Linked DNA regions of Rhinolophus ferrumequinum. The protein of the gene in region 1 interacts with the protein of each later gene in a pairwise test. Links are inferred from orthologs where the notes say so. Each region holds a gene or a part of one and is shown in the gene's direction. Other genes may lie near its edges.

Region 1 (7,717 bases):
CTATCATCAAAAAGACAAATAGTAACAAGTGTTGGAGAGGCTGTGGAGAAAAAGGAAGCCTCATACACTGTTGGTGGGAATGCAGACTGGTGCAGCCGCTATGGAGGGCAGTGCAGAGGTTCCTCCAAAAATTATGAATAGAATTACCATATGACCCAGCAATCCCTCTCCTGAGTATCTACCCAAAAAATCCAAAAACATTTATCCATGAAGACAGACACGTGTGCTCCAATGTTTTATTGCAGCTTTATTTATGGTGAACAAGACATGGAACCAACCAAAACGTCCTTCGATAGATGAATGGATAAAGAAGTTGTGATATACATACACAATGGAATACTATTTGACAGTTAGAAAAGATGAAATAGGACCATTTGTGACAACATGGATGGATCTTGAGATTTTAATGCTGAGCGAAATAAGTCAGACAGAAAAAGCAGAGAACCATATGATTTCACTGATATGTGGTATATAAACCAAAAAGAACAAAAGAACAAGACAAACAAATGAGAAACACTCATAGACAGACAATAGTTTAGTGGTTACCAGAGGGTAAGGGGGGCTGGGGGAGGTTGGTAGATGAGGGTAAAAGGGATCAAATATATGGTGATGGAAGGAGAACTGACTCTGGGTGGTGAACACACAATGGGATTTATAGATGATGTAATACAGAACTGTACACCTGAAATCTATGTAACTTTACTAACAATTGTCACCCCAATAAACTTTAAATAAAAACAAAAGAAAACCAATATGGCAATACCCATTAAGATTATAACTCCACAATGTTTCTACCCAGGAACCCTTCTCACAATAATAAATGCACTACACATAAGGGCATATGTTCAGAGAATCTTTATTGTAACACCATTTATGCAGCAGGGAAAAAAAGGGGAAAAAAACCTAAGTAAATGCCCGCCTGCTGAGAAAGTGCTGAAAAATGTATGGTGAAAAGGAGTAAACTGCAGGTATCCTTAACTGTGCTGGCTTTGCTGTTCTCTGAGTGTTCCTGGGAATGGCAAATTCAAATTTTGATAGCAGCGAAAAGGATTACTTTAAGGTTGAATTAGAGGAAGAAAGTGTGATTCTCACATTGGTTCCAGTTAGTGAGGAAACTAATGAAGAACGTGAAATGGAACCAAGCATTTCTTCAATCTCAGAAGACAACCTGAAGATTCCTAGGACAGATGATGAAGTTTATCTTCCTCAAACGAGTGAACAGTTCAAAGCTTGTCCAAAACCAATGCTCCCCTTGCCGACCATTTTGCCTTCAATTAATAAAGTGCGTTGGGACACTTTGCGGAACTGGTGCCAACAATTTAATTTGAGTACTGATGGCAAGAAAATAGACGTTTATCTGAGGCTCAAGGAACATGCATACTCTGAAGAAAAACAAAACATTCCTGAAATACTACAGGAGTCAAGTTCAAAGAAATGCAAGATGGTGACCAAGAAAGCAAGGAGTAAGAAAAGTTGTAAGATGAGTGAGAGAGAGCAAATGACCAACAGCGTTGAAGTGATAACTTCAGCTCAGGAAGCCATGTTGGCAGCATGGGCAAGACTTGCTGCAAGAGCCGTTCAACCTAAGGCTATGAATTCATGTCCCATTCCTGCTTCTGCTGAGAACTTTCTGCTGCAAACGTCTGGTGTCAGGTGGTGTGTGGTCCACGGCAGACCTCTCTTGGCAGACAGAGAGGGTTGGGTTCACCTGCAGTTCTATGCAGGTCAGGCGTGGGTGCCTGACCCTCCCAAGAAGATGATCTCTCTCTTCCTGTTGCCGGCCTGCACTTTCCCATACCCAGACCTAGAAGATAATATGTTATGCCCCGATTGTGTTAAGAGGAATAAGAGGATGATGGAAAGATTAACTACAATGAAGAAGTAGAAGCAACCTGGTTTGAACACAATCATATCATTCCTTTTGGATTGGCCATGTCTTAATAAAGAATAAACGGTGGATAGATAGCTCACAGATACATTGATTTGTATCCCAGTGATTGCTGTGCCCTGTCCTGGCCATCCTCAGTGTTGCCTGATGCCTGGAGTACAGATGTGAATGTCTGGATTCTGTACTTCAGGTCTGCCAAAAAGTGACTGCCCCTGCTGCTTCAGGTATTTAGCTATAACATATAGAATATAAGTTGGTTTTCTTTTAATTAATAGATTTTTTTAAGCAGTTTTAAATTTTCAGAAAAAATTGAGCAGAAACTAGAGTTCCCAAATTCTGTTCCCTGCACTCCCCCATTTTCCCTACTGTCGACATCCTGCACCAGAGGGGTACATTTATTGAACGTACATTGACACTTCATTATCCCCGAAAGCCCATAGTTTACATTAGGGTCCACTCTTTATGTTTTACATTCTATGGGTTTTGAGAAATGTATAATGACATATCCACCATTATAGTGTCATACAAAATAGCTTCACTGCCCTAAAAATTATGTGCTCCACCTATTTAACCCCTGACACATTTTCTGTATCCATAGCTTTGCCTTTTCCAGAATGTCATACAGTTGGAATCATACAGTTGCCTTTTCACATTGACTTCTTTCAGAGCAAAGTAAATTTAGGATTCCTTCATATCTTTTCATGGCTCGATAGCTCACTTTTTTTTGTTTTGTTTTAAATTAAAGTTTATTGGGGTGACAATTGTTGGTAAAGTTACATAGGTTTCAGGTGTACAATTCTGTAATACATAATCTATATATCACTTTGTGTGTTCACCCAGTGTCAGTCAGTTCTCTTTTCGTCACCATATATTTGATCCCTTAGCCCACTTTTTTTCCTTTTTTTTTAGCAGTGAATACTCCATTGTCTGGATGTACCATAAGTTGTTTATCCATTCACATATTGAAAGCCATCTCGGTTGCTTCCAAGTTTTGGCAATTATGAATAAAGCTGCTATAAACAAAAAAAAAAAAAAACAAAAAAAAAATGTATGGTATCTGCAGAACAAGACCTGTTATGCAATCATTAAAAATGTTAAATGACGGAGCAGCAGGGTGGCTCAGTTAGTTGGAACATGGGCTCTGAACAGCAATCGGTTCGATTCCCACGTGGGCCAGTGGGCTGTACCTTCCACAGCAAGGTTGAGGGACGTCCACTTGGAGCTGATGGGCCCTGGGAAAACACACTGTCCCCCAATAAGATCTTTTTAAAAAGTAATTGCGGTGTAAAGGGTTAAAATAATTGCAAAAACCGCAATTACTTTCAAAAAAAAAAAGTTAAATGAAAAATATTACTAAATTTTTTTTACACCTGAAAATGTAAGCACTGGCTCCATAGTAGGGAAACAGACTATCTCATCATATGCTGGTGTGGACATACAACCTTATTAGACTTTTAAATTTTTATGCCTTTTGACCCAACAGCCCAACTTCTAGGAATCTGTCCTACTAATAAATGGTATGACCATCTAAAGATACATGTGCAAATATATTAAATCACCTTGCACACCTTAAAGTAATACAATGTTGTATGTCAATTATATCTCAATAAAACTGGGGGGAAACATATATGTGCAAGGATGTTCACTACAGCTTTTATTTAATAAGACTTGGGAAGAACCTAAATGTGTACTCAAAATAAAATGGCTGAATAAATTATATGTCTACACAATGACTAACACAGACTTGAAAAAGAATGAGGTAGTTTTATGTAACTGAAAAAGATAGAAGATAGTCAGTATAAAGTATAAAAAGCAAACTGAAGATTGTCTATTCTTGAAATTTTTCATAATTAAAAAGTGGAAAAAAAAAGGTGGGGGAAAATTCGATGCCTTGCGTTTTTCTGGGTAAGAGTCTCAGAAGTCTGGATAGTTGAACCCTCTTCATCCCCAAGCCACCATACGTGACTTTGACCAGTTTTCTACCTGTACTGCTAATATACCCATTTCTTCTACATGACTCAGTAATTTTAAGCTAGTTGCTTCTGTTCTCCCTTCCTGATATAAAAACATTAAAGTGTGTATTTCTAACTTTTCGTCTCATTAAAAATGTTATCTCATTATTATACTTCATTTTTGCATGGTCCTGTGTTGGAAATCCCTTGGTACAAATCAACATTACAACTGATGACTCTCTCTCCAAAACAAAGCTAAAGAGGCTGACTATCCAGTTAGTGGCTTTCAAATTACCCTACCTTAGAATTGAGACGTTTTGTGAACTAGAACAAGTACTGTTGCTAAAATCCCTAATGGCCAAATAGCAATGAGGGAAAAGTTAATAAATGTGATTTTCTCAAGTTTAATCCTCTTCAATCATTGGCAACCTTAAAAAGAAAAGTGAACAAAAAGGAAACCAGTAAAGAAAAAGTAAACTAATTGTACTTAACATGTGTGATCAAAATCTTTATAACGCGCACTTTTTAATATTTTCTGCAAGTAAATAGTTTCTGGCTCCTAGGATGAGGTTAAATGCTGCACAGTGTAAATAACATCACAATTTACACAGGAACAAGTTGGGTCACTGGCCATTTCCCTCGGCGGGGTACACCAAAACTTGCTCCTTCCTCTCTTTCAGTAAGCATTCTGCATGCCAAACGTCGGGGGAGAGCCGGCGGGGCAAGCTGCCTACTCTACCCACCTTGGACTAACTCCTCCCCGCCCCCTTTACACCTTTACCCAGCACCTACTCCTGCCCAGCCCCAACTTTTCCCCTGCCCCATCACCCCTCTACTCATCGCTAGCTCCTCCCCAGTCTCATCACACCTCTTTCAGCAGAGGCTTCCTCTGCTTCATCGCTGCAAAACCACCTGCTGCGAAGCTTCCAACATCAGGAGAGGAAAACAGGGGACTATATTGCAAAAATCTGTAGTCTCCATACAAGCACCATCTGCTCTCGCGAAGAAACTCAAGTCACAGCCCCAAAGAGGAAAGAGCGCGCCTGGGCTCGCACATAGTTAACGGGCGTTTCGGGCGCGCTCGCGGCCGGGCCCAAGCAAGGAGCTGAGTATACAAAGGTGAGCAGTAGAGTCGCGGTACCAGCTCAATCGGGACTCCCAGTCCAGCGGGGGAGGTGATCATTTCTTTAAAGCTCGCATAGTAGAGGTAGGGCGAGGAGCACTTAAAGCCCACGGCTGGGAGAATGTACTTAATCCCTGAACCGTAAAGGGCTAACTCTAAACTAGTCGGAAGTGACGTGCCTGCTGAGACCCGCAGGTCCACCACGTAACTGGCCGCGCCTCACCTAGCCACCTTCTCCCCGGAATGGCCTGCAGAGGATAAGTGTAACTGAAAGTCCGCCGCCCGCCCTCGCCCCGCCCCCGTCGGCTCCCGGCGCCACCCGGGGTCAGCCGAGCCCAGCCAGAGTCCGAGCCGCTGCCGGGCCCGGAGAGCCTCGCCTGCCCGCGCCCGTCGGCGCCCTGCGGGCAATGGGCTTCAGAGCTCAGCCACGCGCATGCGCGGCCCTCTCTCCAGCGGATTCCTCAGGTCACCTGGACGACAACGTTTCAGCCACCTGCCCCTCCAGGTCCCTTCTCGCCCTTGACTCCTCCTGCAGATTCTCACCACCGGCCTCCCGCCTTCTTCCGCAGGCACCGCCAGGCCCTCCCGCGGCCACCCGCCGATACCACGGCTTCCACTGACACGAGCCTCTCGGCGCCGTTTCCGCTTCCGGCGAGTATTGTGTGTCGCGCTGCGGGGCGGGGGCGGGGGGAGGAGGAAAGAGGGAGGCAGTGCTCCGGCGGCTCCGCGCCCCGCACTACCGGACCCGAAGCCGGGAAGGTAGGTGCTGTCCCGCCGCCGCGCCCGGGCCCCGGGGCCTGCCCCGCCGGCCGGTTCCGCACGCCGCGTCCCAGCGCCCCGCGACTGCGTCACCAGCCCCCCGCACGTAACCACCGCTGCCTCCTCCCGCCTCGGGCCCGGGCGGACGTTTTGCCGCCCCGGCGACGTCAGCGCGTCCGGCGTTGCTTGGCTACCCCGCCGTTTCCCCGTCCCGCTGCCGCTCGCCTCCCCCGGTGAAACTCTGACGCGGTCGCCGCGGGTCTCGGCTGCGTCATAGCAGCGGGCATCCCACCTTCACGTCACACTCCTCCCGACCTGGACACTCATCCCTCCTTCCCTGCCAACCTCTCCCTCCTCTCCAGTACCCCTGCGCCAGATCTGACGGGAGAAGGAGCCGGGGGTGGGACCGAGTTGTGGACCACGCTCAGGAGAGGGTCGCAAGGTGGGACCCCGGACAGTGGTAGAAACAAAATGAGGACGTCCCTGAAGTTTGCCCTTCTACAGAGACACGAGGAACAGAGGGAAAGAAATGACCAATCCAGAGGCGCCCGAGGCCTCACTATGGCTGTAGCTCCAAGCCCTCTCCATACTCTCCTGACCTTTTCCCCATTTCTTTCACACCACTTCTTTGCCAGTCAGATCCCTCCTGGTCCCTAACTGCGTACAATTCAACTCACCCCAGGTGAGGAGGACACCTAATTCCTAGAATATTGGGGTAAGGGCAGGATCACTACTCACAGTTGGAGTTCCATAGGTGGAGAAAAATCATCTAACTGAATGGTCTCCTGGTTCAGGAAAGAAATTGAGGTCCAAATTAGTTACTACTCCAAGTTAACACATTTCACGTGTGCCATCAATATATACAGGAATAATCATTGTTAACCCAACTCATTATAGGGGCACATAGACCCTCTCTCAGCACATAGACATACTAAATTTCTTTCCTTCTGTTGGGACCCTTGGAGGGGAGGGAGGGTGGAAGGTGGGGTGATAGGGATAGAGAAACCAACCATTTCATAGATTAAAATGGTGACATTTTAAGGATGGAGTAGGGGACCAGTCTTCTGCTTTTATAAATGCTTTATGCATTTCCAACTCTTTTGAGGCTTCACTTGGAGATTTTGATTGCCTTCTTTACTTTTCATTCCCAACCACTCCAAAACCTATAGTTGGAGGCACAGTATGTCCAAGGAATTAGTTATCGATAGCTATTTCATAAGACTCCAGTCCCTGCAGGATATTTAAAATAGATTTTTTCATCCCTCTTTTCAAGAAGTTCTCAGCCTGGACTCAGTAACACACTCTTTAGTATAGTTGCCATGAGTTTATCACTTTTCGGAAGTTCCAAATGTACAATTGCACACAAATAGAATAGGATGTTGTGTGAATCATTTCATTCCAAGAGGAGGGCACACTTCCTCTACACTAGTCTGATAAAAGGAAGAAGAATTTCAATCTTTCCTGAAAAGAAGGTTGTTAGCCTTGCCTAACTAATTCCATTTATTACTGTTTGAAAGAGAGAGAGAATAGTGGCAGAGAATCAAGCTTGGGCTCCAATGGACTATTGTAATAAAACTCTTCTGTAACATTAAACTTTAAAATATACCTAATTTAAGAGATCTTAATACTTTGACTTTAATGGCATTTTGCACTTTCGCAAACTCCTTTCTCATCTATTAGAAAAATATGTCACACTAGGGATAAATTGGTCTGGCATTATTGGTTTTAAGATAGAAGTGGTATGAGCCTGGATCAGGAGAAGTATACTGAGCTAGAGTTGAAAGAAGCCTCCATTTCTAACAAGAGAAAGCAGAGGTGAAAAACAGAAGAGATTGGCAGTTGTGTGTCAGTTTGCTGAAGATGAAAAAAAATTAGATCGATAGCTGGGAGTCAAAAGTTTTGAAAATGGAGAAACAAAAGAGAGGTTGAATCTGGTGCAAGAGAAGATGTGAAATACCAAAATGGGGCTAAATGTGGAGTTAGGATTTTACATGG
Region 2 (7,648 bases), on another chromosome or scaffold:
CATTTACATTTCAGCCATAAAACTAAAAGTGGTTTTAGCCAAATACGGCTACATTACTGACATGATCAGATTTAACTGTTGGCCAGCTTTTAAATAATACTAACAACAACTACATGCTAGTATGGACTATAATCCAAAATTTCTGTATAATGGACTGATTAATTTTACATACCCAATATAGTACGTTTTAGCTCTATTAAAAGATATGTGGAATAAATTAATAGTGGTTTCTTGAACTCCTTTATCTTACAGGTGTATCAAAGATCAACTACTTTTTTCACTCTGGCCAGCAGATGGCAATGTTTTACTTCATTTATCTAATAGAGTTTTCTACAGAATCCTGAGTCCTTAGGCTCTTGTAATTTAGATTCACAATATTAAATAATACAGTATTTTTGAGAGTTAACTTTACCCTTTTTGACCCATGAATAATATATAAAAAAAAATCATACTTTTTGAAGTCAATTTGGACTTTTTTTTCCAATTTTCTTTTTACTGAAAACAATTGTTCTCATTTTTGTAAAAAACAGGAAAACTCAGTTGCTTTTACTTTGTTTTATAGCTTTATTTCTGAGCAAAGTCAATGTTGAACAGTACTTCTGAAAATCAAATTTAAATTATATTTAAACTAATGTGGTCAAAGTTTTATTAGGCGTCAGTTTCCCATCTGTAAGATTAATCCTTTCATCTCTGAAGTTTTCGAACTTGAGGGTCAGGAGATCTGGGTTTTATTCAGAGTGCCACACAATATACACTAAGTGACCATAAGCCATTTGAATTTTTTTTTTTTGCCAAAATTTTAGGATGAGTGGAATAAATCTAGAACATTCTCAAGATACTGGTTTTAAAAGTCTGAACTCTCCATAAAGAAATATGAAGGAATTGAAAATCAAGAAGGCCTTCAAATTTTAAGTAGAAATATAATTCATTAATAATAAAGTGTTCAAAAAACCCTGTTTCTATTATAATTACGATCATTGTGATGAGCAAAAGCAAAACTTACTATTCAGTTGTCTCATGTCTTCATGTTACTCTTCAAAATTTAAAGAAGCTTTATCGTATTATTTACTTAAATAAAAACACAAAATAATAACCAATCTACAACCTCCTTCCCCCCCACCACAAAAAAAAACAAAGCAAATGCTTCAGTACCTTTTTTGAATGTAAGGACAAAAAAAGTCTCTAATTGGAACTTTCTAAAAGCATTTCTCCTCAATTAGAGTGCAGTAATGACTCTAAATGGCACTGTGTTGAGGACAGCTCATCAGTTAATTATAAGGAGTTCTCTAAATTGAGGAGTGAAAAATGATACTAAATTTCAAACAGGGCAGATAACTATGGCTTGTCATTATTCACTTGATATTTTAGTCAGTCCATCCAAAGAGGAAGACGTTGAGAAAAATATTGTCTTTTCTAAAAGAACAGATTCTGAGAATAAAACTGAACATTTACCTAAGACTATATTCTTGCCTGGAATATGGTTTTTATAGTCATTCAATTCCCATGATCCCCAGAGACTTTCATTTGCTTGCCCAGTTTATTTTCCATCTGGCTCTTTCAAACAAGGAAAAACAATATGGCATTTCTATTGTTGTACCTAATAGCCTGGGAAAGTGGATGTGTATTTTAAATATAGTAGTCAACCCAAGTTTCAATTCATTTTTGTGTGTGTTCCAGCATAATCTAGCACACCATATTCTGGTAATAAATATTTTAAGATTCTATAATTTACTTATGCTTATCTCTGGAATAATTCTACCAGCCCAAGTTTAAATTACTTCTTTAGTCTTAAAAGCAAATGCAAAGAAAATAATTGTTTAAACAGCAAATTGTCAATACTTATTTACCCTATTTTCCAAAATTGCTTTTTTCTATTTTTTATTTTCTTCTTCTTACTTTTTGATATTTTCATGAATGTTTTACCTCCACCTTTCTTCATTTAATGTTATGCTTTGTTTATTTATGTTCATAGAATTTTCAATTATGTTAAAAACAAATATGGATTTTATTACCACAGATATCCTCTTGTTATTCCACAAACACCTTTTTCATGAAGTGTAAGTTGGGGACCAGGCTCTGCTTAGTAATAGCCCTTCATGTTTGCTCCTCTATTCCCAGAGGAGTTTGCTGCACATGCCTCAGTCCCTTTCCATCTGGCCTCTGCACAAAGGCTTTATCCACGTTAATATAATTCTTTGTTTTATGATGGAGGACCTTGAGTTTATCTGAGAATGAATATATATGAAATAATAATGTTACAGAAAAACCTGATCTGACCTTTTTTATTATTATTATTATACCTGAACCCTAAGATGACAGAGAAACTATACTTAGCTGGCAACAAAGACTGAAAAAGGTAAGGGCTATAATAATGACAGATCTGAAACAGAGCTGCTAAAAAGTAAATGCAAAGGGTCTGATTTCTCTGAATACTATCCATTATTACATGTCTATGTTTATATGGCTTCAGTAAAATCGAAAAATCTTGCTACATTTTTTTTATATATCACTGAAAAATCTTTGTGAGATTTTCAGTTAGTAAGACATTAACAAGAAGTGGCTGAATTTGCACATTGATCTACCTATGAACTTAATAGCAACGTATCTCTTTCTACAAAAAATTTATAATTAAAGGATTCATGAATTTTAAAATGTAGAACTCCTCTTTCTTCAGTATAAATAAAATCACAATGATAAGATTCGTAAAACCTCACATTGAACTGAAAACTCTCCTTTTAGAATGCATGCTGGTCTCAGTGTTTAAAAGACATCAACTGATTTATTCACTCTCTCTGTATTCATGTTATCCAATCTTTTTTATTTTTTCTGCAAATATATAGTTTTATAAGGAAATATGAGTTAAGAAGTTTGTAGTAATTTTGTCTAGTAATAGACTGGAGAAACACAAAATCTAAATAAACACCGAAAGGCCAAAAAGAAAACACACATGCAGACACACATACACACACACTCCCACACCATATACATGCTTTGTTTTTATAATTTATTCCAAAACATATTATATAAAGCTGTGTTAAAAACTTTATTTGGGTTTAGATGCTGATGCAGGTTGTTGATTTCAAATAGAAGAATTACTGGTATTTAAAGATGGCAACTGAGATCTGGAACCTAACTGGGTGCAGGCTAAGCATCAAAGAAAAAGATTAGAACCCCACCTCCCAGCCCCGCAAAGCATACTAGTATTTTTTATTAAGTTATATTTTTAGGTTTGTTTTGGCATCTTTTCAAAGAGTTTTGAAAGACATTTTTGTAATAACAGAATTTTATATTTAAACTTAAAAATTCACTTGGGAGTGGAATCCAAAACTACATTTTAAAACATTTCTCCTCATACTTGGCTTGTGGAAGGAAATAACCTCTGAACACATCAAGTCATCTTATTCTGAAAGAGCAAGGTGCTTTTTTATGATAGCCACTGTCCCAAAGATGCAGAAACTGTGACGCCCCCCACTTCACAAAGCGCTCACATCTAATATCGCCTATATTTGTTAGCAGTGCCCAATATCGTAGTGATCAGTAAGTGAATCCTTACAAACGGTTCCAATTGGCCAAAGGCAGAGTGGCTGAAGAGAAGCAAACAGCAAGTCCAGCTTGCTTCATCTTTATTAGAGGAAATTCACCAGCTTGGGTAGATTGCAGTGTTAGGAAAAACAAGTTTGTCATAAGAACGATATTACCACTTCCCCACTCTAAGCCTGTTTAAGGGAGTCCACTCAATAACTGCTGACTCAATTTGCCTCCATTCCCAGAACTGAAGCCTGCCCCAAATTGTCCACTGGATTGATTAGGAACAAACAACATAGGGACAAACTGATGATCACTTGGCGGTTCTAGTTTTACTAAAGCATGCTCGTTTAGTCTAAACACTGTGTTTGTTAGAACGGCAAAGGTATGAATAATGCCCTTTACAAAAGAAAGAAAGAAAACCCCTAAAATCTTAAGGCGACCGGCTCAAGGTCACCGAGGGAAGGCAACATTTGAGACTGGGCTATTTAACTCCTGGGTCCAATGATGCACCGGAGCCAACACGACACCATCCAGGAGTTTCAAAGCTGCATAGTAAAATAGCTAGCGTGGGCAGTCCTTTTGTACTCCAGCTAGAGTGAAATTAACACAGTCTCCCGTTCTTCCATCGCAGTCTGACAGCATCCAGCAAATGGGTGTAAGGGTAAGGAGAGCGGAACCCCGTTGTCCTTTCTCAGCTGAGGCTGAGGGAAAATTGGAACTCAAGAGGGTGAGGACCGCGGGAGAGGAGCAGGGGGTTGGGAGAGGGAAACTCGAGCGGCTGAGTGTAAGGCGAGGGGAAGGAAGCCGGGTGTGTGCGTCCGGATGGGGAGGCGAGGGACAGGAGTGAAAATGTGGGCCACACTCAAGCTTAGAGGATTCAGCACCCGCTGCCTGCAAAAGGGGGCGAATCCTGCCAGTAAGAGTGAGAAAGAGGGAAGCAGAGGGGAGGGAAGGAAGTAAGGAAAGAGGAAGGAAAGGCAGGAGGGGAGAGGAAGAGCGGCTGCAATTTCTGCGGCCGGCTCAGTAGGAGGAGCAGGAAGGGAAAGAGGAGGATCCAGAGTCAGTCAGTCAGGCAGCCGGCGGGAGGTGGAGAAAGGAGGAGGAGGAGGAGGAGGACGAGGAGGAGGAGGAGGAGGAGGATTAAAGATGGCCACCAACAGCTGCGGGGAACGGCAACAACCCCTCACTTTCCGGGATGGTCCCTGCGGGTCGGCCCGGCCTTGATGGAGAGGAGAAGCCGGAGAAGCGCCGAGGCTGAGGCGGCGGCGGGGACCCGGCGAGGAGGAGGAAGCGGGGGAACAGGGACCCAGGCAGGAGAAGGGAAAGGCGGCGGCGTCGCTGCCCCGGCCGCCTAACGCCGCTGCCCGCCCCGGCAGACCGGTTCCTGCACCTCGCGGCCGCCGAATCAAGCCCGGCCCGCGGCCCCGTCCCCCGCAGCGGGGCTCCCGGGCCCCGCTGCGGACGCTGCTCCCGTCGCCCCCTCTCGGTCGCCAGCGCGCCCCCGGTGCGGAGCCCCGGTCCGCCGCGGTCCCCACTGGGGGCCAGGCCCGCCTGCTCCCGCCCGGCCCCCGGTGAGTGCCCCCTGCTGCCTCCCCCCACCCGCGCCCCGCGCGCCTGGGCCGCTTTGTTCGTGCGGGGCGGAGGCGCTGCCCGCTGGCGGCCCTGCGCCCGCTGCCCCTGGGGACAGGCCGCGGCCCAGCTGCCGTCGTCCCCCGGGACCGCGCTGCCCCGAGTCGCTGTCGCCGCTGCCATCAGAGCTGGTGGCCTGGTGTGTGTCCTCCACTGCGACCTGGAGAGGGCGCCATCGCGGTCGGGTCGGGGTCGGGGTCACCAGCGGCTGGCGGTTGGGAGCGATGCTGGGGTATTTCGGGGGATGAGGGAGCAGAGGGCTGAACATTACCTCTAGTAAGCAGTGGGGGCGTAACCTGGCGGTCCAGGAATGGGGGTCTGGCCCGGGTCCCCCCAACGGGGTCTCCGCTACTGGAGCCCCCAACGCCGGGGCGCTGCCGAGTGGGGCCTCCAACCCTCGGGCGCTGTCTCCAGGGCTGCGGGCCTCTCCTGGCTTATTCTCGAACCCGTTCCCCCCTCCCCCACGCCCTGTGCTGGAAGCCCTTCGTTCATGGAAGGAACCAGAGATGCTCCTGTGTTGTGTGTTTGCCCTCTTATTTTCTTGTACCGGGATGCGGAGGCATCGCAAACATTCACGATTACGGTGAGGTTTTAAAAGCAGATGTGACCTTTCTGACCAACAGTCATTTGGCAACCTGGGCAGTGTTTGATCCTCAGATGCTGCGTTTCGTTTCATTGATTTTTACCATTGAATTCGGAGGTCTGCAGTATTAGGTCTCCCTTTCACTGAAATAATCTGATAAAACCTGATTGAAAGGATGTTTACTATGTATGTGAACCCTTATCTCGACTTCCAGTACTTTAAAAATGGTTATTTCCTGTGGGAATATCGTGCTAATGCATACGAAAAACTATTTTTTCCGTAATGGGTATGAGTTGGTTAGTCAACTATTATAGTATGAAACCAAACAATTAAAAAAGAAAAACAAAACCTTTGCTTTGAGATAGCAATATATTTCCAGGTTGGAATTATTCGATAGCAGGTTGAAAACAATTAGTTTCCACCATCAGGCTATATAACAAACATAACATAAAACAGAATAAAAAATATATTGATTAGTTAAAAAAAAACAACGATGTAATATTAGTGCATAGATCCAGCTGTAAAAAAAAATAAAACTTTATTATGAGACTCTAAGCATAGGAATTAATTAGCTTGGTATGTTTTTTATATTTAAAAGTACATATTTCATTAGACTGACTTGAGAACTTTTCCCATAGTTGTTGAGCAGGGGTATTGCATGTTATACTTTGAGTCATTCATTCTTAAACTGCTAGAAATACAGGTTTCTACCAGTTTTTCTGAGTTGAAATCGATGCATGAAAAAAATTTAGGTTTCTAATTTAAATTTTCTGCGTAAAGGAGATAGAAATTAGAAAACACGATGTCTGGTCTTACGGTGTTTCTCCGAAAATAAGACCTAGCTGGACAATCAGCTCTAATGCGTCTTTTGGAGCAAAAGTTACTATAAGACCCAGTCTTATTTTACTATAATACCCAGTCTTATTTTACTAAAGACTTTATAGTAAAATAAGACTGTGTCTTTTTTTACTATAACGTAAGACTGGTTATAATATAATATAATATCGCTTATATTAATTTTTGCTCCAAAAGACGCATTAGACCTGATTGTCCGGCTAGGTCTTATTTTCGGGGAAACACAGTACTTGCAAAATCTGTTTTAAAAAAGTAAATGACAGTGTATATAATTCAATAGTTGGATTCTCTGCTTTGAAAATTCTTAAATCCACTGCTCAACTTTGCAATTTTAAGAGTTTATATCAAGCATTCTTAATTTCATGCATATGTTTCAGAAGGTCCTTGAAACCTCAGAAATATATGCATAATATAACAAATGGAGGCATACCTTGGCGATATTGTGGGTTTGGTTCCAGACCACAGCAGTAAAGCCAGCAGGAATCTTTTTGCTGGTGGAGGGTCATGCCTTCAATTTGTAAAAAACAAAAAACAAAAATAAACATCTGTGAAGCACAATAAAATGAAGTACAATAAAACTAGGTATGCCTGTATACTCGTTTTTCTCTGGGTGAAGAGTCCTTGGAGTTATCACATTCTCAAAAAGATGTCTCCACAAAAGATGAATTAGTAGGTATATAATTAAAGTATAAATCCTCTATATTTGGAAAGTTAAAATTCTTAGAGAATTAGGTTTGATAATTCATATCCTTTACTTCCAGTTATATCTAAGAAATGTTTGTTGTTGAGAATTTGCCCATAGAAATCCTTTTTCATGCGTTCTTATTGAAACCTTAGGAAAATGTTAATCCCATTTTACAGATGAGGAAATAGATCTTTTAGAGGCACTTGTTCAAAATCAGACAGCCACTGGTGGGGCAACATTTGAACTCAGACAGTCTAGTGCCAGAGCCAGCACTCCTGACAACAAGGAAGGCTATGAGGTGTGATCAAACAATATGGTGAATGTTTAAATTAAAAAAATTATTACAGTCAAAGACACATTGCCATTTA
Region 3 (7,923 bases), on another chromosome or scaffold:
TGGAATGGGTTTGAGAGGTGAAGAAGATGGAGAAATTACCAACAACTCTTAAGTTTGGGGCTTGAGCAACTGGATGGACTATGGTGCCATTTGTGGAGGATGAAAGAGACTAAGGTAAAAATAGTTTGGCAAGGAATGGGGAGAATTGAGTTTTGTCAAGGACTTGTGTTCTTTGAAATTCCATCTGTGGCCCAAACTGCACCAGGAAATGCCTGATGTGTGAGTTAAAAATGCTGGTTGCTGGACTCCACCCCAGACCTACTGAATCAGAATCTCTGGGAGTTTAACAAGCTCCCCAAGTGACTGACATCCATACTAGAGATTGACAGCCACTGGACTTCATTCTCCCTTCTCTTTTTCCCTCCTTCTTATTACTTCTCCTTCATCCTTCTCCCTTGCTAATTCTCCCTGGATAATTAGCTAAGTGAAGAAGGCCCTGAAGAAATAACAAACATATAACAACTAACAACAAAGCCCCAAAATACATGAAGCAAAAACTATTGGAGCTAATAAGTGAGTTTATCAAGGTTACATGATACCTGATCAATATACAAAACTCCATTTATTTCTATACACTTGTAATGAACAATCTGAAAAAGAAATTAAGAAACAAATCTAGTTATAAATAGCAAATTTGCTGTTTATAATAGCATGCAAAAAAATGAAACACTTAGGAATAAATTTAAAAGAAGTACAAGTCTTGTACACTGAAAACTACAAAAAACCATTGAAAGGAATTTGAAACATAAACAAGTGGAAAGACATCCATATTCCTGAATTAGAAGGTTTGATATTGTTAAGATGGCAATATTTACCAAATTAATCTACAGATGACTTAACATTTTTCCCATCAAAATTCCAGCTGTTTCAAATGGATGAAATGATAAAAAAAAAAAATTCCAGCTGTTTCTTTTTTCCTCCAGAAATGGCCAAGCTGATAAAATTCATATGGAAATGTAAGGGACCCCGATAGCCAAAATAATCTTGGAAAAAAGAACTTCCTGACTTCAAAACTTACTATAAACCTACAGAAATCGACAGCGTGGTACTGGCATAACGATAGACGTAAAGATCAATGGAACAGAATTGTGAGTCCAGAAATAAAAATCTAACATTTATGGCTAATTGATTTTCAGCGAGGGTGCCAAGACAATTCAATGGGGGAAAAGAACAGTCTTTTCAACAAATGCTGGGATACTGGAAATTCACATTTGAAAAAGAATGAAGTTGGACCCCTACCTCACACCATATACAAAAAATAAGTCGAAGTAGATTAAAGACCTAAAAGTCAGAGCTAAAACTATGAAACTTTTAGAGGAAAACAGGGATACATCCTCATGACTTTGGATTAGACAATGGTTTCATAGATACGAGCTCCAGAGCACAAGCAACCAAATAAAGGAATAGGTATATGGACTTTATCAAAATTAAAAACGTTCATGCTTCAAAGGGCACTATCAAGAAAGTTAAAAGGGGCGGCTGGTTAGCTCAGTTGGTTAGAGCCCGGTGCTCTTAACAACAAGGTTGCCGTTTCGATCCCTGCATGGGCCACTGTGAGCTGCGCCCTCCACAACTAGATGGAAACAACTACTTGACTTGGAGCTGATGGGTCCTGGAAAAACACTCTTAAATTTAAAAAGTTAAAAAAAAAGAAAAGACAAGCCATAATGCTGGGAAAAAATATTTGCAAATCATGTATCTGCTAAGGGACTTGTACTAAGAGTATATTAAGAACCTTTACAACTCAATATAAAAAGAAAAATAATCCTATTTAAAAATGGGTAAAGGATCTAAGTAGACATTTTTCCAGAAACAGATGTCAGTCTGGGCAATAGGCACATGAAAAGACATTCAGCATTATTAGTCATTAGGGAAATGCTAGTCAAAACCACAATGAGATACTCTACATATTCAAAACGGCTGCACTATTTTATATTCCCTTGTAAATTGTTGGTGGGAATGTAAAATAGTGCAGCCATTTTGAAAAAACAGTGTGCCAATTCCTTAGAAAGTTAAACAGAGTAACCCTATGACCAAGCAGTTCCACTCCTAGGTATATATCGAAAACATACATCCACACAAAACCTTGTATATGAATGTTCATAACAGCTTTATTCATAACAGCCAAAAAGTGGAAACAACCTAAATGCCCATCAACTGATAAATGGATAACCAAAATGTGGTTTAGCCACATGATGGAATATTATTCAGCGATAAAAAGGAGTGAAGGACTGATACGTACTATAACATGGATGAACCTTGAAAACATTATACGATGTGAAAGAAGTCAGTCCACAAAAGACGACATAGGATTCTATTTAAATAAAATATCCAGAAGAGGCAGCTCTATAGAGACAAAAGATAGATTATAGATTAGAGCTGGGGCTGAGAGTTGGGAAGGAAATGGGGTATGACTGTTAATAGGCCTGGGTTTCTTTTTGGAGTGATAAAAATGTTCTGAAATTGATTGTGAATATACCAAAAACAATTGAATTGTACGCTTTAAGTTGGTGAACTATGTGGCATATGAAGTATATCTCAATAAAGATATAAAAAATAGAAAAGCACACGCATGCGTGCACCCATACACAAAGAATGCAGTTTCTACAGAAGGTCTTAAGTGGATTAGGCCATGCAGGAAGTTTAGACCCATGAAGCTAGATGTATAGAGGAAATTTAACAGACCCTCCCCCACCAGAGTTTGGAGCATTGTTATGGCCCAGTTTTACAGGTGAGAAACTGAGCTATACAGAAATTTAAGGTCCTATAGCCAGAACAGGATGGAATTCAGATTCCAACCTAGGAAGTTGATAGCAGAGCTGGGGCCCTTAACTGCCACATTACTCAGTCTCCCAGAAACTTGTGTCCCTGGTCTAAGATAAAGGCAGGGTGGAGAACATCCATAGCTGAGAATCTCTCAGTGAGATTGCTCTTTTCCTAGTGCCAACTCCACAGTGCTCATCAGAAAGCACTCATCACTTGGATGCCTACCATCTGTTTAATAGACATGTGGAAGCCTTGCTTTCAGCAATTTCTAGAGCAAAATTCAGGACAAAGCAATCCCTTTGAAGATACTTAGCATGCAGCTTCTCTCCTTCAGGGAAGAGATGTGTCTGCCTACGTGAATACTCAGCTGAGAATGATCAGATAGAAGGCTCTGTGCATAGGGCCTGAATCTCAGAGCAACCTCTGCAAACTCAGAAATGTCCATATAAATGTTCAAAGCTCCTTTGTATGTTGGTTCATGATTACCTGGGACAACACTGATTCATCAGGATACATCTAATAGAGCAGACTTGTTTCTCACAAGGCATTTCTGTGCTTAAATATAAGTATAGGGTTTTGTTTGTTTGTTGAGCCTTCATTTTTATCTGATTATCAAATGAATGCAAGGACAGGAATCTCTGCATTTTGGACTATTGCTGTGAACTAGATTCCCACATGTGAAACAATCCCAAGTCAAAGTGGGTTAACATTTTTAAAGGCTCTTGAACCTCCTTGCCAAATTGCTTTGCAAAAAAGATTGAACCAATTTACACTCCCACCAGCAGTGTATGAAAATATATTTAAATGCAAATTCCAAACTGCAGAGAGTCTCTTCCTTAGGTATTTCACTTAAAAAAAAATTTTTTTAAGGCTAAGCAAAAAGTGACCCAGGATGTTAAAAAAAGTCTAATATAAAAATGGAGCAGATAGTTAAAACAGCTCTTAGGCAGAAATAAGCTTGAGAAAGGTCCAAGCAGGATGATAAAAATTTTAAGGCATCATAGCAAGAAGCACAATCCTGAAGGGACTATTAACAATTTGGCTTAGATTGGGATAGCAGTCGCCAAGAATGCTGGGTGTGGTCAATGTACCAAATTCTAGTTTAGAAAAAGCAGGGTATTTTATTTATTTATGCTTCACGTTGTTCTAAAGACGATTTAAGATACCTAAAGAGAGGGGAAGTAGCATTGTGTATGAATAATCAATCTTCTGAAAATGAAACGAACCCATACCCCTTGAACTACGGTCAGCTTTTATCTCTCCCTACACGGGATGCCTCGCCTCTGTAATCCGAGTTCAGCTTGCAACCACAATGACTGCCTCTCTATCTAATAATGGGGCACAGTGATTTTAGGGGGAATAGGGGCGGGGCAGGCAATGGGAAGGCCAGATTCGGGGTACCAATCCACTGAACTCGACACAAACCCAAAAGGTGCTGGGACCTCAGCCTTCAGCCAGGACCCCTTCCGCCGGTTACTCGGGAACCCGCCCCGGTCCCCGCCAGCGAGTCTTCCATTACTACTTCTCCGTGCCCCCTCCCACCCGAAAAAGAGCTGACGTCCGAGGGGAGGCAAGAAACTAGATTGTGCCCTTTTCCACTTCTTTCTCACTTTTGTGCTTCCTTTCCTGCTCTCTCTCCTTCCTAACCTTTCTTCTTTCGCGTCTTCCCCTCTTCCTCTTCCTTGCTTCCTTCTCCTGCCTCTTCCCCCAGACCGATCCCCGCCTTCGTCTCTTTTCCTCGGGTTGAGAGATACCCTCACTTCCCCTCCTTTCCTCTTTCCCCTCCCTCCTCCGCTCGCGGCCTCTCCCGCAGCCAATCAGCGAGCTGCCTCCCACGGCTCCGCCCCCCCGGCGGTTCCGGGCGGGCCCGACCGAGCCCAGGCCGCGGGTGCGGAGGGCGGCGCCGCGGGGCGGCGGCCGATGGGGCCTGGAGGACGGGCGGCGCGGGCGCGGGCCTCGCCGGGACGCGGGTGTGCAGGGCTGTGAGGGGCGAGGCGGGCGCTTCGGCGCGCCCGGGATGGGCCAGCCCCGGCCTGGCGAGGCCGAGCCGGAGGCGAGGGCGGCGCGCGGGCCAGGCCTGCGGGGCGGGCGGCCAGGGGGCTGAGGTAGAAGTGGGCGCGGAGGAAGGGGCCGAGCCAAGACGGTGGGTGGAGCGGCGAGGGGGGCGGAGGCTGGGCCGCGGCGGGCGAGCGGAGCGGCGCGCCTGTCCGGAGCTCGGCGGCGCCTGAGGAGGCTGAGGCGGCGGCGGGCCCGGACGAGCGCCCGGAGGTGGCGGACGAGGCGCCAGGGGCCCCCATGGGCGGGTGTGTGGGCGCCCAGCACGACTCCTCGGGAAGCCTCAACGAGAACTCGGAGGGCACCGGAGGTAGGTGAGCACCAGGGGGCAGCCTCGGCCCCCCATTGTTCCCGTCCAGGCCCGGCCACCTGTCCCGGGCTCGCGGGGAGCGCGGCCGGGCCCCCAGCGCCCCTTTGTCATCCCCTCCTCCACGTCACTCCCCGCGCCCCGCTTCCGGCCACTCGGCCGGCCGCGGGGTCGCCCCCATCTTTCCCCGGCCCCGGAGAAAAGTCCTCCGCGCGCCGGGGATGTAGCCCTCGGCCTCCTGACCCCACCGCCTCGGCTCGGGAAACTCGGACCCGAAACTGCCTCTTTGGCCACCTCACTCCGTCTCCAGCGCGTTTAATTATTCAGGAACAGGATGGCGGCGCTGGGGCTGCAGAAAAGCGAATTGCTGGGGGGTTGGGGAGGGGAGCCTCATGCATTCCCTCCGACGGGCCCCGCCACATCTCTCGGCACCCTTCCTTGTTCAGCAGAGTTGGCTGGTCTCAGCTTTCCTGAGTTTCAGATGACAGCTGCCCTGGTTGGTTCCAATTTGGCCATTTAAACCTGCAAGTTTCTGGAGCTTAGTTGGGGAAGTCTCAAGTGGCCACAGGCATTATTTTAACGAGGGGTGGGGAAGCGGTCTGCCCGAGTAAAATGTGGCTTCGCGCTGCAGCAGGAGGGTGTTGGGCCAGCTTGCTGTCGGGGTGGGCTAGTCAAATTCCTATCTGTCTTACGTAAAAGAAAACACGTAGGATACAAGCGCAAATGCATAAGAGTCTGACTTCCCATTAGGCTCAGGACTTGAAAAGTTTTTTAACACGGAACGCACGTCGTTGTCTTGTAAATAGCAGTTTGCTGAGGAAAGGTATTTTAATTCAGTCGGAGTTGTAGTCTACCAGCATAATAATAGTAATTCTAGCTTTACTAAAATGACCTTTTGCTGAGTCCATTCTGTAGCTTGTGTGCAGGTTAGAATTTTAGTTAAAGAAGAAAAAAGTTTTAGGAATAGTGAAGATGACAGTGTTGGTTTGGTTGCAACCTTATGTCAGATGTCTGAAAATGTGGAGCAGATTTATAAGTTCCTAAACTAAATCATTTGGCGATAAAAGGGTTTACAAAAAAGTTTACCACTTTTTCTTAACATACTAACATTTAGTTAGTTGTTGCTTGCCCTGTCGCTTAAGCTCCATCAATAAACCATGTACCTCTAACTTTTGGCTGATGAATTTTCTGAATTACAGGATGTTTAACCTTGCCACTTCATTAAAATCTATGGGTATCTTGTATGACTAGATTCTGGGCAAATGGTTTGAAAGCTCAGTGAAGTAGTTCTTGGAAAAATTGTCCATGGAAATGCTACTTTATAGTGCATTTCAAGTCAGCATTATTACTTGCTGGGACAGTGACAGTGAGATCCTCAGTGACAACAGAGCAAGAAGATAAAAGGGGCATGATTTAAAACACTTGAGTCAAGGTCAAATTGGGGGTCACAATGATTCTTCCTGACATTGAGGTGAGCATTAATAGTACACAAGTATATTAGTGCTTGTAATAGGTGATGGTTAGTTTTGATTATTATTTTTTCAGACGCATTTAAAAATTCTAATAAACATTTTTTCTTTTCTTGGTAATGAACTTGAGCCAATTTATTTAAGCCATTTGGTAGTGTGACTTATGACCAGCCAGGCATTATTAGCATGGGCTTTTAAAAGCATAAAGTCTTAGCCTTTGGTAATTTGTTACCAGTGGTATCTAGTTAGATAGCTATAGTATCAGTTTCTTTGAGAGCTGAGTCCTCTGGACCTTAAGCTGTGCTATATCTTTTAAAATTAAAGTTTAGGAAAAAGGAACATCAACCACCAAACCTCTTTATTTTCTTCTGGAGAGAAGGCATGGTCCTCATGTCACTGGGGTGGAGGAAGGAGCAATGTGGAATAAAAGGATTGTTTCTGGAATTTAATTATGGAATCCTTTATTCTTCATTATTGTCATGATAGTTTAAAGTTAATCGTGGTTCAAAGGAATTAGCTCAGGTGAGTGTTTCAAGAACATGTTAAATAGTTCTTGCTTATTACATTAGGTTTTTGTTGGGAAGGGAAAGATTTTTTCTTAAGGGTGTTGACACAGATCCTTTGCATTTCGAACATAATAGTGGTTAGTAGTTTTAATCTGGACATACTGAGTTATGAAAAATTCTTTTATCAACATGGAGTAAAATACAGCCTTCTGATGCTTTTCATGACAGATTTAAGATTTTCATGACAGATTTAATTTCATTCACAATGTTGTGCAAGCATCACTATTTTAGAATGGCAAATACTTGTGTGTATATTGAGAAAAACTTCCTTATTAGGTGGATTACTTCTTTGAAGGGATTTGGGAAATTTCTGCAAAAGACTGTAAAATGTGAAAATGACTTAATTCATGTTATAAGGTTTGTGTTACCTGTTGTTTTGGAATCATTTGTAGTCATCTTCCTGTCATACCTTGCCTAGGATTCAGTTTTTGAGTTTCAGCTACTTTGACCATTTTTTAATGCTTAATTTTAATCAAGACAAGTGTATTATAGAAGTAGATTATTCAACAGTTCTCTCCAAGTTTCCGTGCTCCTAGGGTTTCCAGTTGTTTTGACATTTTTACATAGCATATTCTGTGTGGTTCTCTGCCTTATTATTGTGATGCTTGGATTGGCACTTAGGACCTCTAGACGGGCTTTTGGCCCATGCCATTTGCTAAGGAATTAAATCTCTTAAGATTTTTTAAAATAACAAATATGTGGGTTAAAATAATAAAGTGAAATTAATTGAACACAGCCGAAGAGTTCTTATTTTGTTCAC
Region 4 (7,504 bases), on another chromosome or scaffold:
ACGTTGTACCTGATACTTTCACGTCTTCTTAAAATGTCTTAAACAATGGATGAGAAAAAAAGAATTTGTTTTATCCGAGTCACTAGCAGTAATTTTAGGATTAATAAGTACTTTAATGAAGTCTTTGAATCAGATTTAAGAAATAAATCCTATAAATATAATTTTCCTTTATAGAGACTTTATATTAATTCAAACCAGGAAAATGGAGATTATTGATTAAATTGAAATTACTAACATTTCCAAGATGATGTCAAGACTGTATTTATTCATTTCCTTCAAATTAACAACAAAAACAATTGTGTATAAAGTTTTTTCTACGTTATTTATTCAGGCAATGCATCTCACAATGGTCTTTGTGGTTTGATAAAGAAATAGATACAGCAATTTGTGAAATAAAACAAAAACTTTCTTTTAAAATTGTGCTTTATGAAAAGGCTATTAAAGTGTGGTTATCTCTGAGCACCAGGATTATGGATTATTATGATTATTTCCATTTCTTCACACCTCCTTTTCATATTTTCCAAATTCTTCATAATAATCACAAATTACTTGGGCAATCAGAAAAAGGTCTAATTGTTACATTAAAGTTAGGTGTCTATAAATTTAACACAGTGTACCTGACCTAAGTTAATCTGCTTGCACTTTCTATATGACATCAAGTAGTTCTCTTTTTCTCAATGACTAAAGTTTGCATACTTTATTTATAAACCGGGATCAAATGATTTGTATTGTGATCACATCGGTTCCCACCTCTCTCTATCCAAAATGATGAGACAAAGTCCACCCAATACACCCTGACAAGCAACATTTTAAATGTCATTATTAAAGTGACGATGCAGGCTTTTCATTAGAACTACAGAACCACAGAAAAAGGTCAAAGCAAAGAGAAGCTGACTGTTAGAAAAACTCCAGCTTCTTATACCTTCTCTTAGCCACAGTCACATGGTATGCAGCAAATATTTTTAGGTTACACTGAGAAAGCTTGAAAGTGTGTGCGTGAGAGAGAGAGCGAGAGCGAGAGCGAGAGGAGAGAGAGAGAGAGAGAGAGAGAGAGAGAGAGAGAGAGAGATTCTTTATGACAATTTAAGTTTTTATGCAAAGGGGTTGAGATCTTTGGGTGAAAGTTATTAAATATTGCATGACAGGTATATTGTATAACAGTCTATCATAATTATAGTTTGCTTTTAACCATCTGAAGACTTTCTGTTTTCTGATTTTAGCGTCTGAGCCTTGTAAATTATTTCTGACTCACTAGCTTTATACCCTAGGGGCAACTCACAAGCTCCATAAAAGTGTGCATATTTTTCTTAAATCTCTTTCCTAGCAAATACATTCATTTGCTTTTTAGCCTCACAATGTAGATTCCCACAGTGAAAAGCAACTAAATGACACTTGCCTCCCTCTCTTATATCCTCCTTTCTCTAAAAAAATATCATTTATAATTAAAAGTACACATTTGAAGACCACTTCTTTATTATAACTGGGGACCTTAAGCTGAGGAGGGAGTTGGGAGCAGGATGGTATAAACACTACTAGACCAAAGTACCCCCATTTTGGCCCAAATGACACTTTGAGGTGGATAGTTCTTTACTGTGAAGGGCTGTGCACTGTAGGATGTTCAACAATATCTCTGGCTTCTACCCACTAGATCCTGACAGTGCAGAGCTCCAATTCCCTGATGCAACCCCAAAAGTGTCTTCAAGATATTGCCAAATACCTCCCAGGGGACAAAACTGTCCGCCAATTGAGAACCACTGCCTGAGGCCAAAGACCTTACAAAATCAAGCTCTTTGTGCCTTTGCCAATTCAAATTGTTCCTTTGACCCTATGGTCAACCTCTAAGTACATAGCCACTCACCAATATGAAATACAGACAGTCATGGATACCCTCACACTCTTCATGTCCGTATGTGGCCAATTTGGATAGGAGGAGAGAAGCAGGCACTGATAACTTCCCCACCCTTCACTGACATGGGTGTTCATGCTTTAATATATGCAAGTTCATACAGTCTTGACCTTGGAAGCTCTAAAATGCCCTGAGTTTCTTTATGCACTAGCCACACTCTCTGCAACCCCATGCTCTTCTGTGAATATTGTTTCAAGCACAATTTTATTTCATTGAATATGTTTATTCTGCCTTGCAATTGTTTTTGCACTTAAATATAAAATTATGATCTACCCTCAAAACATGTATTTCCTGAAATTATCTTTGATTAAAACCTATTAATTAAAACTGAGGGAAGGTTATAGAATTAAAAAAAAAAAATCAAGAAACAAAAAAACCCTGCCTTCCCTAATTTATCTCACAACAAAATAACACATATGAGTTTTATTTTTATGCCTCCTAATATATTCAAGGGATGTTTATTCTCCAGGCACCACGTTGTCTTGGTGTTTGAAGCACCAAGGTAAATGGGCAGAAGGAATGATTTCCTCTGTGGAAGAAACATTATTAATAAATTCTTTTCTATGGAAAACTCTGAAAAGTGGATCTACCATTACTAGATTCATAATCTTAAGTAAGCACCTTAGTCTCTGCTGGCCTGTTTCATCTTTGGGAAAATGAGAATGATGATACCTACCCTTTAAAGCAGGGGTGTCCAAACTTTTTTCAACGTTTTTCACCAAGAGCCATTTACTGTAAAATACACAAACAGCCAGGCCACTCACTCGAGGTGAAGTACGTATTGCCTCACCTGGTTTACTTAAATAAACTAAATATATTTTTGGAATTTGCTGCGGGCCAATAAAAAATGGATTGTGGGCCGCAGTTTGGACACTCCTGCTTTAGGGTATATTGAATGAGACCATCTGTTTTAAGCTCTTAGCCCTGTGCCTGACATACAAGTGTTTCATAAGTATCATTTTCTATGCCACTTCTCCTTTTTGTTCCCAGCACTGGCTAAATAATTTGTGAGGTCCAGTGCAAAATGGGAATGCAGGCTCCCTCGTTCAAATAAGAATTTCAAGATGACAATAACAGATCATCAAACCAAGCATAGGGCTCTGTGTTGCTGCATAGGTGGCACACTAAAAAAGCCAGCTCTGCTTCCTCCCCTAAGGTTTTCAAGGTTCCACTTGTCTATTCTTCTACCAAATTAAAAGCCACTCTTTAATTTGACAGTTGACAGGGAAATAAATGAAATAACTAAAGAGGGCTTTATTATGTGTGTTGCTTTTCAATGCTGGCTCACTTTTACTCAAGCTGTTGAGTGTAGTGAGCCTATGGCTCTCATAAGGAAGCAGTTTTAATCTGCCATGGCATTTCCATGGTTTGTATCATTCTCAACATGTTGAAATAAAAAAAAAAAAAAAACCTGGGGGAAAAACCCATTAGTTTTCTACGAGTAATTGGACCCTTGATAGCCCAAGAGGCACTTAGTGGCCAATGAAGCACTTAATTCAAAAGCTCTTTATCTAGACTTATCAAATAGCATTCACAAAGAAAGCAGCATAGCTCTAAATCAGTGTCTTTGATCCCAAACTGGAGACTTTTAGGGAATTGGTCCAGATGTCTAAGAGTAAAGTATCCAAAGAGGAAGATTTGGTCTCCAAACCACTGAGCTCTGGTTCTCCTGTTATTCTTCTCCTTTCTGGATGTATCAACGTGTCCTTTACAGGTTTTTTTCAAGGTTCTCACATCCGTATTTATTAATATAAGAGCAGAATCTGTAAAAAAACAAAGTATGTTTTTGCATATATGTATATATGGGAGGAGAGAGAGAGAGAGAGAGAGAGAGAAATTTCCTCTCTTGAAACACAGAAGGCACCCAAGGCATCTTAACAGAAGGCAGAGACTTAACATTTATTGAGCATCTTTTAAGTGCCAGGTGTGCTATATACATTGGAATATTCAAAGTATATGCTAGTTTTCATGTATTCATTCACTTAATCTCAGGACATTTTTTATTTTTTTTTACAGTGGGAAAACTGAGGCTCAGAGTAGTTATGTAGCCTGCCCAAAGTCACACAGTTAGCAAGTAGGTGGGTCTGGATTGGCGATTTGATCTAACTCCAAAGCTCATGTATTAAAATCCTATTCGGTTTAGGAGATTACAAATCCAGGGGTCCAATTTGTCACAGTCTCTTTGAATCAAACAACGAACTGAATGCAATAAACTTTAACATACTTGCTAATCATGTTAGTTTACATGGCCACCTTGCTCTTACCATAATTTTCACCCTTTCCCCCACCCCCATCACCATAAATCGTTTGGTGTCTAAAGGGTTAGCGATTTTCCTAACAGTTGATCGCGAGAACGGAGTAAAGATAAAGAATGAAAATATGTGTTGTGGGACAAACTCCCAAGGCCTAAAAAAAACAAACAAACCATCTGTTTGGGATGACAATCCATCACTTCCGGCCTCGACTGGGCGAGAGGAAACCTCCGCACGTGCATCCAGGCGATTCCCAGCCCTCGCTTACCTCCGGGCAATTGGCTAGTCGGCCGCCGGGCCGGGATCATGCAAACCCGAGCGGCTGGGGTCGGTCGGCCCACGGTTTCCCTGGAGACCGGGCGGAAGCGGCCGGAAGCTGCGCTGCGGTAGGCCGCAGCGGGAGAAGCTGGGGGTGGAGCTAGCGGAGGAAGGCTTCCGCGACGAGGAAGAGGACGCAGCTCGCGCCATGGAGCGGGAGGAGGCGGGGGCGGCAGTCGGCTCGTGGGGTGCGCCGGTGCCTGAGGAGCCTGGCCGCCTCCCTTGGTGTAAATGAGGAGGGCGGGGCGGGCGAACGCCCGGGGCGGTGGCGGCGGCCGTTGGGGTGCGACCGTCCCCGCCTCGCAGGGTTCCTTTCGTTTTCCGGGCTCAGCCCAGAGGGCTGCCCTTCGCTGCCTGTTATTTTGTGGCTAAAGACCCCGAGAGGGATGGCTGCGCCTAGTGGGAGCAGGGTGGGCGCGTCACTTTGGCAGTCGAAGGTGCATTAGTAATCCCTCAATCAGTTTACTGAAAGCCAAAGAGGCCCCCGAGCGGTTATTGATTGCAGAAGTAGAGAACCTCGTCCACTTGTTAAGAGTTCGGGGCCTGGCCTTAGCCTGGGCTACAAGGACTGGCTCGGCACGGAACCGAGGGCAAGGCATCTCTGCAGTGGCCTTCTCTCTGGTGACCCGCTTCCAGCCTCTGGGCTCTACCTTGCTTGTATCGCCATCCAGGGCCCGGGGCCAGCGCTCACCTTCCCTGCCCTTTTTTTTTTTCTTTTAAACTTTTAAATTTTGGATTAAAGTTTTAGATTTACAGAAGTTGCAGAGATAGTTTTCCCTAACGTTAATATCATACGTCAGCATGGTGCATTTGTCAAAACTAAGACATTAACCTTGGCATAATATTAAGAATTAAGTACAAGCTTTCTTCACATTTTACCATTTTTTCCCCACTATAAATGTTTCTGTTCCAGGATCCAGACCAGAACATCACTGCATGTAACCTACCTTGTTTTTAAACTGGTTTTAAGGGCTGAAATCTCGTCTGTTTTATCCTCTCCCACCCAATTCCCCATGACATGGTCTATTTTTCAATCCAAAAAATATTTACTCATTCTTTAAATTTAGTGAGTATCTATTGATAGTCTATTATATGCCAGGCACTGTTACAGGGATTCAGCACTGAACCAGATAATCCTGCTTTCATATGGGAGCTGAATATAATCCTGCTTTGTGCAGTTTTGTATTTATGAATTTTTGAAATTTAAGGATATGCCACTTAGAATAATTTTAAAGTTGGTTGAAATCAGCGTTCACATTTTTCTGCTTCTTGCAATTTACTCTACATTTTACTCTAAACTTCCAAGTAGTAGGATTACCCATTGTATCTTCCATTGCTGATCAAGATTTCTTTCCATCAAGTTTATTACTATCTTGAGAAAAACACCGTTCACAAAGAAATGCTAAGTAAACAGGACTGAAGACCCTGCTGTAGATGGAGTTGCTCTCATGTCTGTAATTTTAAGATGCTTTGACAGATACAATAAATCCAGGAAAAAACTTTTAAAATCACTTTGCACTCTTTTTCTCAGTTACCGTGTTTTAAGGAACAACCAGTTGCTCAGAGATGATAAGCAGCTTGAATATGTTTGTATTTCTTTGCATATTGTGCATCAGTTCATGATCAAGTGGTGCCAGCAGGAAGTTCTTCATCCAGGGTTATAATACACATGGATCTGGATTGCTTTTACGCACAAGTAGAAATGATCTCAAATCCGGAACTAAAGGGCAAACCTTTAGGTAATTATGGACTTTGACAATATGTTCATTGTTTAATAGGATTAGCTACTCATTTATTAATGTTTATTGTGTTCTGATTTATTTATTAAGAAAGATTTTTGAAGCAGTTCTTAAGGTGCTTTATAAACAAAATCTTTGCTTCATTACCAGGTGTAAACTTTATAAACTTCATTTAATAAGTAGTGAATTTGACACAATATAGACAAATGAATAGATGAACAGAAAGACCATAATAAACTTTTAGTCTTTTTCTCAGTGTTTGAAATTTTACATTCCTTTTATCTCAGAAACAACCTCTTTTGTTACATTTTAATAGAAGATTTCGTCTATCCTCCCCCCCCCCTTTTTTTTTTTAAGATTTTTTATTGGGGAACAGTGTGTACTTCCAGGACTTTTTTCCAAGTCAAGTTGTCCTTTCAGTCTTAGCTGTGGAGGGCGCAGCTCAGCTCCAGGTCCAGTTGCTGTTGCTAGTTGCAAGGGGTGCAGCCCACCATCCCTTGCGGGACTTGAGGAGTTGAACCGGCAACCTTGTGATTGAGAGCCCACTGGCCCATGTGGGAATCGAACCGGCAGCCTTTGGAGTTAGGAGCACGGATCTATCCTCCCCTTTTTGAAATTAACTCTTGATTTGTGACAAAATAGTTGGATTTTGAACAGAACCCTAAGTATTCAGGGATATAGAGCAAGCTTTCCATAAAAACACAAGTATAAATAAAAAGCAAATTCTACACTGATAATTTACTTTTAGTAATGTTGCCTTGTTTTAACTTTATTATATCATAAATTGAAAAACTAAAGTTCCAAAAGTTTATTTTACTTGTGTAGTAAGGATTTAAAGAGCAATTTTGGTTCACCTGCTGCTACCCTTATGCCTAGTTTGGTTTTGATAAATCCTAATTCAACCTAGTTCAGTTGATTTACTAAAGAACCAAATTTTGGTATGCTAAGGTCAGTTTAGGATCTTTAAACTTTCCTAAGTGTGTCAAGGAATTAGGATTAGGGGACCTAAATTTTCTCCTAAAAGCATTTCAGTTAGTTGCCCTGTAACACATGATGCTCTGTAGATAATGCTTAATAAAAAGATACTGTGTAGTGAAGACAGGAATGAATGATTTGGGGAAGTGAGGGATGTGATGTTGAAAGTTTCTAGGAGAAAGCAAAATAGTTTTTCGTTTATACTCAAATACATGACTGCTTAACTTGGGCTGGTGACATATTAGTGTGAGTCCATATAATTTAGTTCTGCAATTAAAAAACTTTTTTTGGTTAAGGGAGTTAACAATCTGATT

Evidence for each region.
Region 2: the proteins of TRIM39 (region 1) and WDFY3 interact in binary tests that used the Homo sapiens proteins (3 or more experiments, as listed by UniProt). The two-hybrid records come from large-scale screens. The link is inferred for Rhinolophus ferrumequinum from reciprocal best matches to the Homo sapiens genes TRIM39 and WDFY3.
Region 3: the proteins of TRIM39 (region 1) and UBTD2 interact in a two-hybrid assay, tested with the Homo sapiens proteins (2 studies listed by BioGRID and IntAct). The link is inferred for Rhinolophus ferrumequinum from reciprocal best matches to the Homo sapiens genes TRIM39 and UBTD2.
Region 4: the proteins of TRIM39 (region 1) and POLI interact in binary tests that used the Homo sapiens proteins (3 or more experiments, as listed by UniProt). The two-hybrid records come from large-scale screens. The link is inferred for Rhinolophus ferrumequinum from reciprocal best matches to the Homo sapiens genes TRIM39 and POLI.

The regions. Positions count from the first base shown.
Region 1 is NC_046286.1:1,119,263-1,126,979, forward strand, and holds the start of TRIM39 (E3 ubiquitin-protein ligase TRIM39), read left to right. Parts: upstream 1-4,708; 5' UTR 4,709-5,428; exon of another isoform or gene 5,429-5,532; 5' UTR 5,533-5,614; exon of another isoform or gene 5,615-5,722; intron 5,723-7,717. Other genes in the region: developmental pluripotency-associated protein 2-like, read left to right, coding at 1,016-1,885.
Region 2 is NC_046288.1:39,505,563-39,513,210, reverse strand, and holds the start of WDFY3 (WD repeat and FYVE domain-containing protein 3), read left to right. Parts: upstream 1-4,647; 5' UTR 4,648-5,099; intron 5,100-7,648. UniProt on the Homo sapiens protein: Required for selective macroautophagy (aggrephagy). Acts as an adapter protein by linking specific proteins destined for degradation to the core autophagic machinery members, such as the ATG5-ATG12-ATG16L E3-like ligase, SQSTM1 and LC3.
Region 3 is NC_046307.1:38,257,340-38,265,262, reverse strand, and holds the start of UBTD2 (ubiquitin domain-containing protein 2), read left to right. Parts: upstream 1-4,921; 5' UTR 4,922-5,061; coding exon 5,062-5,131; exon of another isoform or gene 5,132-5,135; intron 5,136-7,923.
Region 4 is NC_046302.1:44,050,943-44,058,446, forward strand, and holds the start of POLI (DNA polymerase iota), read left to right. Parts: upstream 1-4,499; 5' UTR 4,500-4,624; coding exon 4,625-4,703; intron 4,704-6,007; exon of another isoform or gene 6,008-6,092; coding exon 6,093-6,215; intron 6,216-7,504. UniProt on the Homo sapiens protein: Error-prone DNA polymerase specifically involved in DNA repair. Plays an important role in translesion synthesis, where the normal high-fidelity DNA polymerases cannot proceed and DNA synthesis stalls. Favors Hoogsteen base-pairing in the active site.